3 linked regions of the Kluyveromyces lactis genome follow. The protein of the gene in region 2 purifies or fractionates together with the protein of the main gene of each other region. This does not show direct contact. Links are inferred from orthologs where the notes say so. Each region holds a gene or a part of one and is shown on either strand. Other genes may lie near its edges.

Evidence for each region. Proteins that work in one complex are often made in the same cells at the same time.
Region 1: the proteins of SSD1 (region 2) and ZRG8 purify together in Saccharomyces cerevisiae (affinity purification with mass spectrometry; 3 studies listed by BioGRID, with this or other methods). This does not show direct contact. The link is inferred for Kluyveromyces lactis from reciprocal best matches to the Saccharomyces cerevisiae genes SSD1 and ZRG8.
Region 3: the proteins of SSD1 (region 2) and PSY2 purify together in Saccharomyces cerevisiae (affinity purification with mass spectrometry; 3 studies listed by BioGRID). This does not show direct contact. The link is inferred for Kluyveromyces lactis from reciprocal best matches to the Saccharomyces cerevisiae genes SSD1 and PSY2.

Annotation. Positions count from the first base shown.
Region 1 is NC_006038.1:55,035-59,279, forward strand, and holds ZRG8 (Zrg8p), read right to left. Parts: upstream 2,801-4,245; coding exon 338-2,800; downstream 1-337. Other genes in the region: FIR1 (Fir1p), read left to right, coding at 1-244; NCS6 (Ncs6p), read right to left, coding at 3,060-4,175. UniProt on the Saccharomyces cerevisiae protein: Involved in the integrity functions of RAM, a conserved signaling network that regulates maintenance of polarized growth and daughter-cell-specific transcription.
Region 2 is NC_006039.1:903,151-911,523, reverse strand, and holds SSD1 (mRNA-binding translational repressor SSD1), read right to left. Parts: upstream 4,677-8,373; coding exon 1,143-4,676; downstream 1-1,142. Other genes in the region: RRF1 (Rrf1p), read right to left, coding at 1-390; PUT2 (1-pyrroline-5-carboxylate dehydrogenase), read right to left, coding at 5,906-7,636; BRL1 (Brl1p), read right to left, coding at 8,282-8,373. UniProt on the Saccharomyces cerevisiae protein: Can suppress the lethality due to deletion of SIT4, and partially the defects due to BCY1 disruption. Is implicated in the control of the cell cycle G1 phase.
Region 3 is NC_006040.1:1,588,593-1,592,833, reverse strand, and holds PSY2 (Psy2p), read right to left. Parts: upstream 2,751-4,241; coding exon 501-2,750; downstream 1-500. Other genes in the region: SPS19 (2,4-dienoyl-CoA reductase (NADPH)), read left to right, coding at 1-206; ubiquinone biosynthesis protein COQ4, read right to left, coding at 3,502-4,241.

The DNA.
Region 1 (4,245 bases), on a different chromosome or scaffold from region 2:
ATCTCAAAGAAAATCGGCAGAAATTGCTGATTTATGCGAACAGACAGCAGAAGAACTCAAGGGCTTAATACTTGAGCTAACTTCAAACAATAAAAAGGAACCGGGAACTATATCTAAGTCAAAATCCTTGCCACCACTCCCACGACCTTTGCTCAATGGACAAAAGAATGCACTGCGCCATAATAAAATGTCTCCTGAAAAGCAGAGAAGATATATGGAGAGAATACAGGGGATACAACACTAACACAATAACATATATATTATTCTAGTTAGTTAATATCCGGCTATGAGATGGTACGGTATGTAATATTACAGATTGTCTTTTTAAATGTCCTGTTTATAATATCTTGGGAGATGCGTCTGATGAGGTCGTAGATTCCTGAATTGGGCTGAGGGAAGAATTCTGTGTAAAGCTTGGAGAAGGCTTCGTGAATGAGCTGTTGGGGGTAACAGGTGAAGCAAGAGTTTTGTTATCGAGTATTCGGTCCTCGCAATTATCTTCAGACTTTCGGGAATCATGGAGTAATGATGAACTGAAAGGTTCAGAATATGACCTATGAATTGAATTATGATCAAAAAATGTGACTGTTTTATTTTTTATTTCCAACTTGTAATTAAGAGGAGTGTTATCTTTCAATACACCCAGTGGCCGGTCAGAATAGCTATGTGTCCTTCTAAAGGCTAAAAGTTTTGTTCGATTCAACCTACTTAAAGGTGAAAGATTCCGCATAATATTTTCATCGTCCGAAAATTCAAAATCCTCCGGTATCCCATTTATTTCATCCAAATAGTACTCTTCTGATTCAGCAGAATTTTCAAGAAACCTATCCTCGTCGGTTTCATCTATATAATATAGATTTTTCATCGTCCCTTGGATGTCATTATCGAGTAAGCTGCTCACTCCATGATATTTTATGGGCTGCTGTAAAGGTGACTTTAGGATATTTCTCTCTGGAGTTTTATACGCCAAAGGAGAATGATTCACATTTGAAACATCCAAGAAGCGGCTTGGAGATTTGAAGCTGATAGGATTTAAGTTATGATTCTGAGTTGTCACTAAATTCGTGTGCTCAACCCCGTACCGCTCACTATTGACGTTGAACTTCACATCGTTTTCGCGACTCTCGTCTCCGAAATCTTCATCTTGAGAACCACTTTCCGCATCATCGTCACTGAGCAAAAACATGTCAGCGTATTTGGTAACTTTATTAGTCCCATCAGAAATTTTTCTTTTACGAGGTTCAGTAACTTTCTTGTTGATAGTTTGCGCTTCTTCTTCGTCACTTAAGTTATATATATCATGATACGATCGGCAATGGTTTGACGGGTCATAATCGTCATTCCCATCTTCAAAACTTTTGTTTGAATCGCGTTTGGAAAAGCCTCTCTGTCTTTCAGTATATCCTTTGGACGACTGGGACGAGTGCGATGATAATTCTTGTGATATTGCTGCATTTGTGCGATCAAATTCGTCGTCTGACAACGTACACATTCCTGCAAAGCCTGATAACGCTGTATTGTCCCCACCATATAAATGGTCCATATTTTCATCTTCTTCTTCATTAGAATCAAAGTAGTTCATTTCATCGTCAAAATTATCGTTCTCATATATATCATTCACGTACAGTGGTGGGGTATTTGTTTCAGTTGAGTAATATTTCAAAGAAGCTGTTCTTCCACACAGATCATTACCGTTTTCGAATGAAAATCTAGAAGAGGAATCTGATTCCTCCTCTCCGTCTTCTTCATTTGAATCATCTTCATCAGCTTCGGATGCAGAATTTTCTATAATTTGTGCTTTGCTCAATGGAATTACATTATCTGCGGCGAATCTTATTTTATGAGAAGTCTCCGGTGATGGTACGAAGCTGTCCTTGATGGAAGTTGTAATTTGAATAGTTTCACCTCCTGCAACTCCTGTAAATGGCCTATTGAAATTGGATTCATCCTCTGCAGTATAAGAAGCTTCTGAAATCTTTCGCAGGTCGAAAAGATTTGTCCTGTCAAGTATGTTATTCTCCTTTCTAGGAGATCTTTCATATTTTGGTAGAGGTGATGGGTTTGGCGATTTCTCAGGTATAGGACTAAACCCGCTACCCAATAGGTCGCTTGAAAATGAACTTTGGCTCCTCAAATGCATTATATCATCGTGTGAATGGATTCTGGCAAGTCTATTTCTTTTCTTTTTGAGGGATTGGCTCCTACTCAGAGAGGAATGTTTTGTTATGTCATAATCTTCAACGTCTTCTGCTTCCTCAAGCGAAAGTCTCGGTGTTCTATCCGCAGACGTTTGTGACGATAAAATACTTCCTTGCTGGGAATTTGGATGTATACGAACGATTTCAGTATCCGGCGTGTCTTGGTTAGTATCGGACATAGATGACATTGAAGTCCTATTCAAAAGAATAACAGATTCTGAAGTATCATCATTATCACCCCATTCATGCTTTCGGGTACCCTTGATGGCTGGTATGTTATTGGTGTTGGAAAGTAAAGGAGCGAATGTTTCTGCATCAGACCGGCTTAGCAGTGGTGACGTATTCGATGAACTGGTCTTTCCATTGGAGCTTTTCTTAAACAACTTAGAACTGAAAATTTTGTTACTAGTAAGTTTATGAAGCGGCTCGAAACTTGAAGATTGCTTTAAAACATTGTTAGGTGGGTACCCTGATGGATAAGATAGCTCAGTCCCAAAAGAACCTTGTGAGTTTCTCCTGTTTTCGGGACTTTCGTTGGAAGATTTTCTGGGGCTATTATCTAAAGATGAAGCTCTTTTATGAGTTTTTATAAAAGACCTCATTGTTGTTAAATTGTTAATGCGGTCTCAACGACCGTTATCGTGTTTTGTTATCCTACACCGTTGTGTATTTTCCGTCTTTGTATTGTTCATCATGCATTATTAGAACTTCTATTATATCTGAAATACTGCAGTTAAATTGCATTCATCAAAAAAAAATGTGCAACTGTAACGATTTTGAGATGTAAATAAAATAATTATAAATATGGTAATATTTAGTAAAGACATGCAGGAAGGAGTACTAAAATGAGCAGCTAATAGTTCAGAACTGTAATTTCTCAAGAGTTCTTGATAGTTTTGCAGCTCCCTCAGTAGTTGAATCTTTTTCAAGTTGGATCTTAGCTCTGTTTTGTTCCAATCCCTCTAAAAGCATGCACGCTTTACATATCTTATTACTGGAAAGATATCCGCATCTTTCGCATCTGTTTCCATCGATAAACTCATTTTGTAATGACACTGAGCCATCGGGCCGTATTTCCATGTGACTTGGTGGTGGTGCCTTCTTAGCGCGCTTTGGTTTTAGCTTCAAGCTTTCTCCGCTGTGAATGATGTCGATAATGCAACTTGGTCTGATTGCTTCCAGGTTCTTCATGAGTTCTCTAGCGGTACCTCTAAACGCTTCCGGGGCATAAGAACACTCGGTTGAAAAGTAGTCTAATTTCTTATAGTGGGCATACAAGACAATTTCCTTTTGGTATGAATACTTGAACGGCTTCGACCTCTTGATCGGTGACCCACTACTCTGAGTAAGAATGGATGTTGATTTTTCCAGCCTGGCAACATCACCACGTAAAATGTTCATCAAGACGGTTTCCGCCATATCATCCGCATTATGACCAGTAACTACATGTTTGATTCCTAGCTTGGCAGCTCCTCTGTCTAGAGCTTGTCGCCTGAAGACTCCGCAATAGGTACAACTGTTTCTTATGCCAGCGCATGCTACGATCTCATCCATTGTCCAATTGTACAAATCTTTATAAGATACTATTTCCAACGGAAGGTCATACTGTACTTGATTTCTCTTCACTGTAGCTAACGAATCGTCTCTATATCCGACAATACCCTCATCAATACTCAAAAGAACAATCTCAACTCCATAATCATGGCGATCATTCAAAAGCTTTAAAACGTATGCTAAGACCGTGGAATCTTTACCTCCAGAAGCACCGACTGCAATACGTTCGCCTCGGTGAAAAAGGTTGTTTGATACAATGGTGTTATGTATTTCTGTCTCGAATACAGAGAAGAAACACTCTTTACAGATCCGTTGTAAATTCTTCGGTCTTTTCATCACTGCCTTTCTCGCATGGCATAGTTCACAGAGCTGTGAGACCTTTACCTTGACGGATTTCTTCGGATCAGTCGGTGGTGTAAACATGGAGACTTGATTTGTCTGACTGTATAGCGGTGTGTTACACGATAATGGGATGTTTTTGGCTGTTTCATAA
Region 2 (8,373 bases):
AATATTTTTGGTATCTTTAGGATCAAAAACAGTCACAATAAGAGCATTCCTACCCTTCAAACTGGTCGCAGCTAGTTCCGTAAACTTTTGTCCTTCTTTACCTACTCTCAAATCATTGAAAATTGTTGGGCTTGCGGTTCCAACTTTTTGCTCAGCCAATTTCCTTTTGTGCAATTCAAGAGTCTTCTCAAATTGTTTAGTAGCGTCGATGACATACTTCTTGACATCTATTATCTCGATAGGCTCTTCATTGTCAGCCTTTCCTGGTTTTCCACTTGTCTTGCCTTTTTTCTTTGCCAAAAGGGCCGCATAAGAACTAAATGGGCGAGCATATGCTAAAGGAGCAGCTGTGGTACTTAGTAAACCGATTCTAAACGCTTGTAGTGACATGACTGGTCAAAATCACTGTATTTATTGAGTGATTATACATTGGAATGTTCAATTCCTTCCTTTTGGTGCGAAGATATTGTTATGTTCATGATCTCAATATTAAAGTCTTTTTTCCTGTCGTCAAGAATTCATTGTGCAAGATGGTGGTTTGCTTGTAAATAGTCCAAGAGAAAGTATAAGCAAGATGCAATAGCTAACTGAAGGTGCTAGACAAATGAGAGTTACAAATAATTCTAAACTTTCACAATGGAATGAACTAAGGGAACTGTTTGTATCATATATTTAGCTATTAAGTTGGAAATAGATCTTTTTGTATACCACCTATTGAAATTATTCCAAAACAACATTCAAAGATCTACACCTAAGGGAAGGATATTAAGTGTAACACTAGTAGTAGTGGTAAACCTCTAAAATCTTGTTGTGCTCGGTATCGGTTTTTTTCATTAGAAATTCCTGATACGATATACATATTTAGTACCCGACTCGTCTGTAGTATTTCTGTGGTTTAGGATCTTAAAGTGACATTTGTTTCTCAAATAAAGAGAATTCTATTAACTGCAACTAACAAAAACGAAACTAGAAGAAGTTTCTATATTCCAAATGAGTTACTAGAAAAATTTGCATTCGTTATATAGACATATATCAAGATAATATACATGAAATTAGATAAAAAATGTAAGCGTTATAGGTATACGCCGTTCGGATACGTGAATAGAACTGAAGAAATTAATGGAACTCATTTGAGAAAGAGTTCAACTTCTCATAAATGGGTTTAATGCACGAACAGTCAAGCATGGTAACGCCATACCAATTTCTGCTCTTAAGAGTAGAGGAACTTGTTGAAGTTCTCTGATCTCTTGAATATAGTTGTCACCTTCTTCTCTTGTGACAGTGGTTTCGAAATATCCTTCCAATGCATCTGCGTTGTTGAACTTTCGCAAATTCAAAGATGGTGGTGTCAATTTCAATTCTTTCAATTCTTTGCTAAATTGCTCACTAATCAAATTGTTCTGCAAGCTGTTTTGATTGAAAGCAATTTCTTTACTGCTGGAGTTAAACTTATTTTTAATAGAGTTTCTGTAAGATTTTGGATTCTGTTCGTCAGATGGCACAAAAGTCGCACTATCAACACCTTTCTTCCAGTAGAGTTCTAAGACTCTCTCGGCAACGTCAAATTCTGCTTTAACAAGAGGTAACTGATCACCGTGAACTCTCTTTTCAATACCTAATTCAGGGATAAACACATCAAAAGAAGATTCATATACTTGCAAAACAGTGGCCAAAGTTAGTACTTGACCGTTTTGATTCCCCATGTCATTTGTTGTTTTGCAGAGGAGTAAATGGATAGCCTGTTCCTGTGCGTGATGTGCACAATCCTTTTTGAAATTACAATATTCAGACGTGATTTTTAAAGATTCAATAGTTTCTTTATACTCTGTACCATTAATTATGCTCTTCAACTGCCTATGAACCACATGATCAGAGTATCTTCTCAAAGGAGCTGTGAAATGTGTGAACAATGGCAAATTCAATGAATAATGCGCAAATTGGTCAGGTTCGACTTTACCAGATATGAAATATTTAGCCGGTGTTAAGGTCTTGGATAAAAATAACTCAACCGCCATTCTTGTAGTGTTATTATCTATGGCAAGAATTGAATTCAAAACTGATTCAGAACTTGTTATATCCATCTCAACGCCAAGTTTTTCAACTTTCTTTTGGAACGTTTTCAATTTGGTAGAAATTGGTTCTGGTTGTCTTCTCAAGAAAGCAACATCTCCCAGGGAAGTGAACAATCGAGTAGCAACGGTATTATTCACTTTACGCTCTATTTCCGATAAAAGGGTCAAAGCTTTAGAACGTTGTAAAATATTCAAATCAACTTTAACCTTCTCGTCATCGAGAGATTCCAAAAGGGGCAAAGTCCTGTATAAATCAGCATTTTTGGAGTTAAGCCTACAGCGGTAAAATTCTTTAGCCACTGCCTCAAGTTTCTCAACAAACTTTGAGCCCGAAGCTGAAGATCTCTCCAATTCTTGATTAAGCCTGTCATGTGTCAATGAGGTGTTTGGCTTGACACGAGTCTCGCCTATCCACGTTGTAACAATATCAAAGTTTTCAGGCTTCAGTTCATATATTATACTGACAGTGTTTGACAGTTTCTCGGGCTGCAAACTTAAGAATTCATTCAGAGCGGCTGGAAGCAAACCAACAGTCTTCTGTGGCATGAAGACAGCGCTAGATCTTTTCCTAGCTCTTCTATCCAAAGATGAACCTTCTTCAATATGGACTGTTACATCAACAACATGAAATCCTAATTCAAGGTTACCGTTGTCAGTGTCTCTTAAATGGACCGCATAATCAGAAACTTCACCAGTTTCTGAAATGGCAATGACATTTTCATAAGTACGCCTTGTTTTGCTTTGCTCTTCTGAAAGCAATACAGGTGCAAAACTATCTCTCTCCTTTGTACGGTCCTGAGGGTCTAAATATTCATCACTTAAGAAATTATTGTCTCTCAAAATTGAATCAATCTCAGTTTTTGGATCGTTCACATCGCCTAATTGCGAGACAAGAGTACCAAAGGGATGCAAAGAAGTGATTGGCCAGCGCTTGATGCTAGCAACGAAAACTTTATTCAGATACTTATCAGCATTTTCGACGAAGTCCTTAGGCGCCTGTTCTATCGAAATGGCAATTAGAGGAACTTTCTTATCGGTAGGTTTGAACCAAACAATTTTCGGCTTATTTGGCTTATTCACATCGTTGTTCGCTTGTTGAGATGGTCTTAATAGACCCAAAGTACCGCTAAATAGTTGGCCCGGAATACGGTCTAACACCGCGACTACGTGTCCAGCGTACAAAGGCCTGTAATCATCATTAATCTCTTCTTCCTCGACCAATAATAAAGATTGACCTTCAACCTCTACGTCATCATTCTTCTTTTGAGTTGGGCGCTGCTTCAATGATCCTCTTCTTTTGATGGAGCCAGATGAAGATCCCAATGTAGCATCTGATCCTTTATTTTCACTAGAGCATGATGCGCTTGTAACAATACTTGTTGAAGCATCATTATGGTAATCATCTTTAGAGTCTAGTGGAATAATATCTTGTTGAGTGCTTGCATCTTTTCTTCTCTTCTTCTCTTCCTTTTCCTTTTTCGATTCCCAGACATCGTCAACCATCAAAAGCTCAACGGCAACAAGATCACCTTCCAAAGCTCTATTACGATCCTTCGAACCACAAATGAAAATATCGGCGTCCAACACACCGTTGGTCGAAACCCAGGCATCCGATCTATTTTTCTTGTTGACCCGTAGAATACCTGCAACCAATTTGCCTTCTTCAATTAGTTGAGGAATGTTAGCTTGTGGCAAATAGGGTGCGAAAAGTGATTTACGGCCATTGGAGTTTTGCTGGCCATTTGCCGAGGTAAAACTGTGGGAAGAAGCATTGGATCCACGTGATTTATGACCTGGTTGGAAGACAGGTGGTGGTTCCAAACCTGGGTGGCCTGAATATTCTCTTGAATGCGTTCTAGAGTGATGAAATGGCGATACCTGCTGTTGCTGTTGTTGCAACCTCCAATTACCGTCGATACCTTCATTTTTCGAATTAGTGCGACGATGCGGGGTTCCAACGGGTATGAAATCATCATTGTTTTCCTTTTGGTTCAACTTAGCAGGTGGAAACTGGAATGATCTATTAGGGGACATATTTGACTGAGTTCTACGGTGACCTAGATTCTTAGACTCGGTTGTTGGAGATCCAGGGAATTTGAAGCTCGTTTGTTCATTTTCATCGACTAACTTAGGGATATCTTGAACATTGTCAATTTTGATCTGAGGTCCACTTTCTCTTTTTGCTTGTTCTTCTGCAGCGGCTCTCTTGGCTTCATTCAAACCAATGGATTGTCTTCTGGAATGTCCATATACGCTCGTCTGAGAGCCAGTTCTTCTGTGTCCACCTGCAGCAGGATTTTGTTTGTGATCGTTATTGTTGTAGAATGCAGAACCACTTCTAGAATGAGACCTGCCTTTTCTATTACCTGAATTTGGGGACAGTTGATACTGCACGTTGGGTGGTTGCGGTAAAAAGTTGGCGGCAGATTGTCCCTGTACGCCTAAGTTTCCGCCACTACTATTATTCTCGATCTGTTTTTGTAGAGTAAACTGCTCAATCATTAAATTCGTAAGTTCAGAAGGAGATTTCCTATGAGCAATGTGAATTTGCTTCGGAGTACCCTTACCACCGGTAGTCTGAACAAATCTTTCTTGTTCTGGCATAATAACTTTAGGTTAATTTTGCCCTTTAGTACTGATATTGTTGTAAATATTATATTTTGGTATCCAGGTCACAGATTCTATAGTTACTATGATTCCGAGATAATCCGCTAAGATTCCGCCAATAAATTCAAGACGTAGTTCTATCAATCAGTGCCAAAAACTATAAGTGATTGAGCCGTTCAAAGGAAAATTTAACTAAAAGCCAATAATGTATATCGTCAAAGAAAATAAAAAGTCCCAATTTCAAATTAGCAATAAAACGGGAAGATCGACAGAATGACAAAAAGAGATTTCAAAAGGAGGGGAGAAGCTATTTCACTTGAGGATAAGTCAAATTGTAAAACGTACAATGTTTGGTGAAAGCACAAGTAAATGATATCACTGATGACAAAGCTTTCGAAAACCTTGTATCACACGGTATTGCAAAACTCCAAAAAAAAAGAAGGGAACTAGAAAGAAATATTCAAGCCCGAGTAAAACGAAGATAGATAATCCTAAGAAAACAGAAAAAAACACACTCGCAGAGAGAAAATAACCCTCTATAAACTATAATTGATAGCTTTGCAGGACTTTGAAGCTGTTGGTCCGTTCTGTTTTGGGGGATCAAATTTGGCTTTACTCCTTAAATTGATCTTTTCTTCCTTCTAAATTCAACTTCTTCAAAAATTCATTTTATAAAATCAGCTATTTCCACTTTTAGCAGTTTCTAAAAAAAATCTTTTCTGTTACCCTCCACTTGCAAAAAGTCAAATTCGGAACAAGTCAGTTAGATTGGACGCCAAAGTCAAGAAGTATGAAAAGTCCGTCCATAGCTCAACGAAACATTATGTTGAACGATATCGTTCGTCAGTTCAACAAGTCTATTGCAAGTAGAATATTAAAAAATTGTCACTAATTAGCATGTTTTTTCATATTATTTATTATATTCTATCTAAAACGAGGTGGATCCACACTGTTTTACATGTAATAATATATGGAGTATTTTTAGCCTCACAAGTAATGTCACCCGGACATGTGCCTGTTTGAAAGACAAGGCATCCTCATATACAATGAAGCTGCTTGAGAGATCTTGGGCATGCACCATCGAAAGTAGCACTTACAGCGTGACTGTCGTATACATGTCCAAGGTTGTCTCCGTTTCGCTAAAAAAAGACTTTATTTCTTGAAGAGTTTAGGTATTTGTACATTTATATAGATTGGGAATTTAAAGTTCATGCAGGTCGATATACTTATTCGTAATTGGATGGATATCTGTAGTCTGTCAATTCATAATAGTTTTCTTTGATGTTCCTGACGCTAACAAATCTGTTCAAGATATTTCCAGACCCGGCCTTGTCATTAGTACCGCTCATTCTGGCACCACCAAACCATTGTTGAGCGACAACAGCCCCGGTAGATTTATCGTTGATGTAGAAGTTTCCTGCACTGTATTTCAATTTTTCATCAGCGATCTTAATAGCCTCACGGTCACGGGCGAATATGGATCCCGTTAAACCATATTGGCTGGTGGAATCAACCAGTTCACACACGTCTTCGAATTTTGCGTCTGGATATTCGTATACAGTCAATATTGGACCAAAGAATTCTTGGCTTAAATAAGGATGTCTTGGATTTGTAGTCTTTATGATTGTTGGTTGGATGTAATAACCCTTAGATTTATCATGGAAGCCTCCGAAAACAATTTCCAATTCTGGATCGTTCTTGGCATCGTCAATCACTTTGGCCAATTTATCAAAACTACCTTCATGGATCACCGGGCCAATAAAACCGTGTAAATCACCACCGTTAATCTTAGATGCCGATGTGTTCACTGGTTGAACTTCAGATAAGACACCTCCTAAATCACGAAAAAATTCCTCGCTCTTACTTTCGGGCAAGTATACTCTGGAAGTAGCAGAACATTTTTGACCTTGGAACTCAAATGCACCTCTCAAAGTGGATAGAACAGAATGAGGAATGTTAGCACTTGGATGGATCAAGTGGAAATTCTTACCACCAGTCTCACCGACAATACGCGGATAGTCTCTGTACAAACCATTCACAACACCCTTCTGGATATCTCCATATAGTTGCTTGAAAACAGCAGTAGAACCAGTGAAATGTAAAGCAGCGAATTCCGAGTCGCTCAAAACTTCCTTGGTGACTTCCACTGCGTTACCTGGGACAAAATTCACAACACCATTTGGCAAACCTGCTTCTTCCAAAACAGTTAATAACAAGTAGTTGGACAAATTGGCGTTTTGAGAAGGTTTCCACACAACAGTGTTACCCATCAACGCAGGCGCACCGATCAAATTACCAGCAATGGCAGTGAAATTGAACGGAGTTACTGCATACACAAAGCCTTCTAAAGGTCTGTATTCAGCCCTGTTCCATACACCGGGAGAAGATTCAATGGGTTGTTGGGCGTACAATTCATTAGCATACTTCACGTTGAATCTGAAGAAATCAGCCAATTCAGTGATGCAATCGATTTCTGCTTGGTATACATTCTTACCTTGACCCAACATAGTGGCAGCGAGCATGTCATAACGGTATTTGGTACAAATCAAATCAGCTGCCTTCATGAAAACGGAGGCACGCTCGTAATATGGCAATTTGTACCATTTGTCCTTAGCTTGTTTAGAAGCTTGGATTGCAGCTTTAACATCTTCATTAGTAGCCTGAGTAACGTTAGCTAAAACTTCAGAGTGGTTGGCTGGGTTCAATTGCTGGAAAATGCCTCTCTTACCACCGTCGTCGTTATAATAAATACGTTCGCCGTTAATGACTAAAGGAACGTCCAAAGAGGAGTTTTTGAACTTAGATAAAGAAGCCCTTAGTAAATCCCAATCAACCAAATCCTTACTACCGAACGCTTTAACTGGCTCATTGCCAATTTGTTTAGGTGGTTGAATATGGGATAGCTGCGCAACGCATCGTTTTGAAGAGCGCAATAGCTGAATACGAGATGATAGCATTTTATACTGCTTTTTCTAGCGAATACTTGTGATACCGTTAATACAACTCTTTCAATATTCCAAGAAGTGAAGCAAATATAGTAATGTGATGATATTTTAGACCTCACTATTTATCTTCTTGTTAAAGGAGCTTTGTTTGATCCCCTTATATAGAAATCATGCAATTTTCAAATACATACCAAAATTACTGGACTGAAATGTTCAACATGAACATATTACATATATTCATGGAGATATCAATGAAGATTCATCCAAATGAATTGTAACGGAAGGAGAACACGAAAGTTTTCCGCCCAAGTCACCTACATATCGGCCATATACTGTATTTCCCAGTATCTTACACGAACTCTCTTCGTGATACTTCGCTAAGAGATAAAGATTAGGTTAGAGGTCGCAGAAAAATCCTTTGGCGGAAAGCCAGTCCCGCGAGATACAATGAAGGAAATCGAATTCCGAACTCCCCTTTGGATTTTTCAGTGTTTTTGGACTGAATTACACAGAAATCGACAGAGCACCACAGTGAAAATCTATGGTGCTTATGGTGCTGCTCTGAAAAGATCTAAAACCGGGTAATGATATTATTCGATAAATAATCATTTACATGAAAAGTGCAGGTCATGTGACTCAAAAGGGTTTTCCAAGCAGTTAGCTGGCAGCCGGTGGCTCTAACTGTTTCATCGAGTTGGGATGGGGTCCTTTTGTAATATTATTCATAGATTCTGTGGGCCGTAGTGGTT
Region 3 (4,241 bases), on a different chromosome or scaffold from region 2:
CAGATCTGTCAGAGATGATTCCATTGCAAAGGCTTGGCACAACAGTTGATATTGCAAACACGACAGTGTTCCTTTTTTCTCCTGCAGCTTCATACATCACCGGAACTATTCACGTCGTCGACGGTGGTGCCTGGCATGTAGGCACACAAATAACGAGAGAGTTTTATCCTAAAGAGTTGAATTATGCTTTTGATTCAAAACTATAAGAACCTTCTCCTTCTGGCTATTAGTTGACTAACGGAGAATCCATTGCACATTGTGATTGGATCATTCAAAATAGTAAATCTGTAACACACAGATCATATAACTCTTATTCTTTTTCTCCCATCTATAACTTCAAAGTCTTGTTTTTCAATTAGAGAATGCAAGATCTGACCTTGAATTGAATATTATCCTAGTTTTTTTAATACTTATCCCTATATAAAACAACAACCTCCTTCTTTTTAACCTTATTATTAATATGCATCTAAATGCATCACATCTTCAGATATATCTGAATGTCATACTTCAACTTCCAGTGTAGTATTATCATTTTCATCAAAGCTAGTTTCCGTTGTTGATAAACTAGCAAGCTTTTGGGTTTCCTCATGATAAATAGCCATCATTTCTCTTGTGAAAGAAACGTAATCTGCCTTCAGTAATATATCACCATATCTACCGCAGATGTACTTATTCAACAGCATGAAATTCCTTGAACTTTTACTACCGGAAAGCGGAATATCTTCCTGCTCAACCACTTTTAATTGAGTGTTTAACGACTTTAAGAAATCTAAAATTGTAGAATTAGCCATATTATCTTCGTTCAAATTTTCCTTAAAAACTTCAAATATTGGATCGAAGAGATTCTTACCAATAAGATATCGAAGATAGAAGTCGTCATTTAAAAATACGATGTTTTTGAAACAACGCACTGCAGCAAGCCTTAATTGAAGGATATAATCGCTTGAAGCAAGTGATATAAGCCTGATCAAAATTCCATTCTCGAGAATAAATCGTCTAGATATTGATGCCTCATGACCTTGAATCATGAGATTGAGAAGTTTCACAAGTTTTATGAGTAACTGTTGATCACATTCATAGAGATTAACAGATCCATCGATGAAGCAATGGAAAAGGGAGGGCGCAACTTGTCTATAGAAACATTGCAAGTACTCAGCTAGCTGAAATTTCTCGTGATTTCGTTCACCGTCTAATCCATCATGATTTTTGCCATTCTGAATTTGAAGCATGTTATCAATTCGTGTGTCGATATTGTCATCATGGTTTTGATAGTCATCTACAATATAGTCTTCAGGATCTAATAAACTTACAAGTGCTTGGAAGGACTGTTCCTTCAATCCCGGACTCTTATCAGTGAGCAGGATCTTGGTCAATATAAGTAAAAGAGACATATCTGTAGAATCAATATCTGAATTCTCGTCATTCAATAAGGTGACTTCGTCACTTTGCACACTTTGGATTAGTTGGATATCGTGTTCAATGAGCCCCACAACTATATCCGTTGCAAGGATTCGAATATCGTTATTAGTTTCCATGTTGAATGCAAATTGGATGACTTGGAACAACCCTTTCTTGATTAAAAATTTGTAGAAAAGGGTTTTTTCTATTGAATTTAGGTTTTGGGAAAGTTGGATGCATTCATGTAATAGTTTTATACCGTCCCTTCTTTTATCTGGGGTGACGGTTGAATCCTCCTCAACTTTATACATCGAGATGACTTGATTAATAAAATTGTTGCTATCCTCCTGTAGGAAATCTATTATGGAATTCTGGTATGACAACATTAGGTCAGATATGAAGGTGAAAGATTGATCATCCAAAAATCTAACTAGAACCACATCTTTCAAAAATTGAAGCCTAAAATTTTGCGTAATCATTAATTTGATCGTTGGATCTGAGATGGGAATCATTTCCTTGAAATTTGGCTCCTTATCTTTCAAATATTGTCTATGGTTAAGTTTTGAGTTTGGAAATTCAGTATCATATTCCAATATACCGCAAACGCATAAAAAGTTTTCATCATTGATCATCTCTTCCAAAATCTCCTTGCTGTTGAACAATATTAGAGTTTTCACAATGTTGCTCAATAATAATAAATTTCGATATAGTTTAGATTCTTCTGACTGATAGAATGATCTGATTAGTGTTGCTAAATAGTGATCGTTGATAACAAATTGAATTGTCTCATTTCGCAGATAATCAAATGACGTGTTTTCGTTTAGAATTTTCAATGCTTCTAAAAGGGATTCTTCTGTCTGGTTTGGTACATTTGAGGGAAGATTGACCGGTCCTGTTATTATCTCATGAACAGACCCGATTCCATCATCTGTCGATCTTACAGCTACCAAAGAGATGCGGCTTTCAATGTTTTTCTGTACAAAGCAAATATATTCACATAAAGAATCGCATCCAATGCTTTCTTCAAAGGATAAAGCTATATCCTGACCATTCAGATCCTTCCAGACAATAAGAGTTTCCTCTTGACGCTGGTATTCGATGTTTTGTTCGAGCCTGGACTTAAGTAAGACCTGGTCATCGGAGTCTTCATCGACCACCAAAAGATACGCCATTTTCTCTGCAGTCTGAGTGTCATCTATAGTACGCTCTTCCACTGTCCCCTGACAAAACCCTGTCCCAGTATCCTTCCACTCGTTATTTTCCAACACATAGACTTTCACGCGTTTCTTCTCAGTGTATACCGACTGTTTGGCACCATCCCCAGAAACATGCATATTGTTAGATTCAGACATATCTTATATTATGCTGATCGAAGCCCTAATAAATGGCAAGATCTCGTAAGCTCTTTCTGCTAATTGTGACCTGACAAAATAGGTTCAAAGTCTTGTAAGCAAAAGTTGCAATGCGTTAACAACCGAGTGAGTCCGAAAGAAAACTTGAATGTTTACACTTCGTCGAAAGCGTCAGTGACTTCTTCCAGTTAAAAAAAAAGGACAAAGAGGATTAAACACAAGCGCTATAAGAGCTTTGAAGTAACAGATTCTTGTATGTTCAATATCAGATTATCCTCCCCTTCCGCTTAAAACCCTCACAAGACACTGCTTCTCTTTTATTATGGGGTGAGATGAGATGCCCTGGTCAGAAGTCTTAAATTGGATAGTTTTTAACTTTGTTCTTTTTTTTCTTCTTCTTGGCCGCTAAACGCAGTGATAAGAAAAAAGAACAGTTTTAAGGCTGCAAAGCACACCGAGGGAAAGAGGACATCGTACTGAAGTTCGATCATAATTGTTTAACATACCGCGTTAGCAAATAAAAGTGTAGGCAGTGGTACTGTACGTAGCAAGGATGTTAGCTATAGATATATTTTTTAATCGATCAAGCAAAGGCGATCTTTTTCCTCTTCAATTGAAGACGTTTATTTCATTACGTACGTATTTCTATTTCTTTTTTCCTGGTTCCTATATCCACAGAATGACCCTGCATTATACTTTACAAAGCAACTTTACGCCAGCCATCACGATTTGGGGATTGAGGGTTTAAAATTCATTTCTCGTAGGTCTCATACTTAAGCTTGAACTGTTTTCTTTGTTTCGCTCTTTCCTTTCTAATTTTTCTCAAATCTGGAGGTGGTGTGACGTTTAATTCTCTTCTTAGTTCGTCTATGTCCTTATCCAAGATTTCTTCCCAATAGACATTGATGAGAGGTTTGCAATTCAGCCCTGCTTTGACTGCCCATGGGAGGTAGATGGAGTAAAGTCTTTCCTTTTGCACTTTCTTTAATCTCAATGGTGCTAATAGAGCACCAAGTGCAGCCATTGGGACACCAATGTTTGATGCCTCAAATGCTTTAACTGCAATCTCACCTTCGATTATGATTGGTAGGTCATTTATTGCATGATAAAAGTCATGGCATTGTCTATATCTCTTAAATATGAAAGCATGGACAGGATCATCGATATAAGTAACTGGTGCCCTTGTGTCTGGAGAGACCCCCTCTTTCATCAACCATTTGTAGTACGTATAGCCAACTGAATTTTTATCCATCTTTGACAATCGTTCCATGTCAAGGCTTTCCGATGTGATGTTTGGTCTGTCTTGTAGAATCCTTCTACCAGTCTTATCTAACAACATTGTCCGTTTTAAACTTTCAAGAAAGCAAGGTAGAGCAGTAGCTTCTCCTAATTGAACGATGTTCTCACCGTTCTCCGGGTGGAAATAAGATTTTAAACCACTGATACCGAAGAGCATCATTCGCTCATACCACCAAAGTGGAACATGACCCT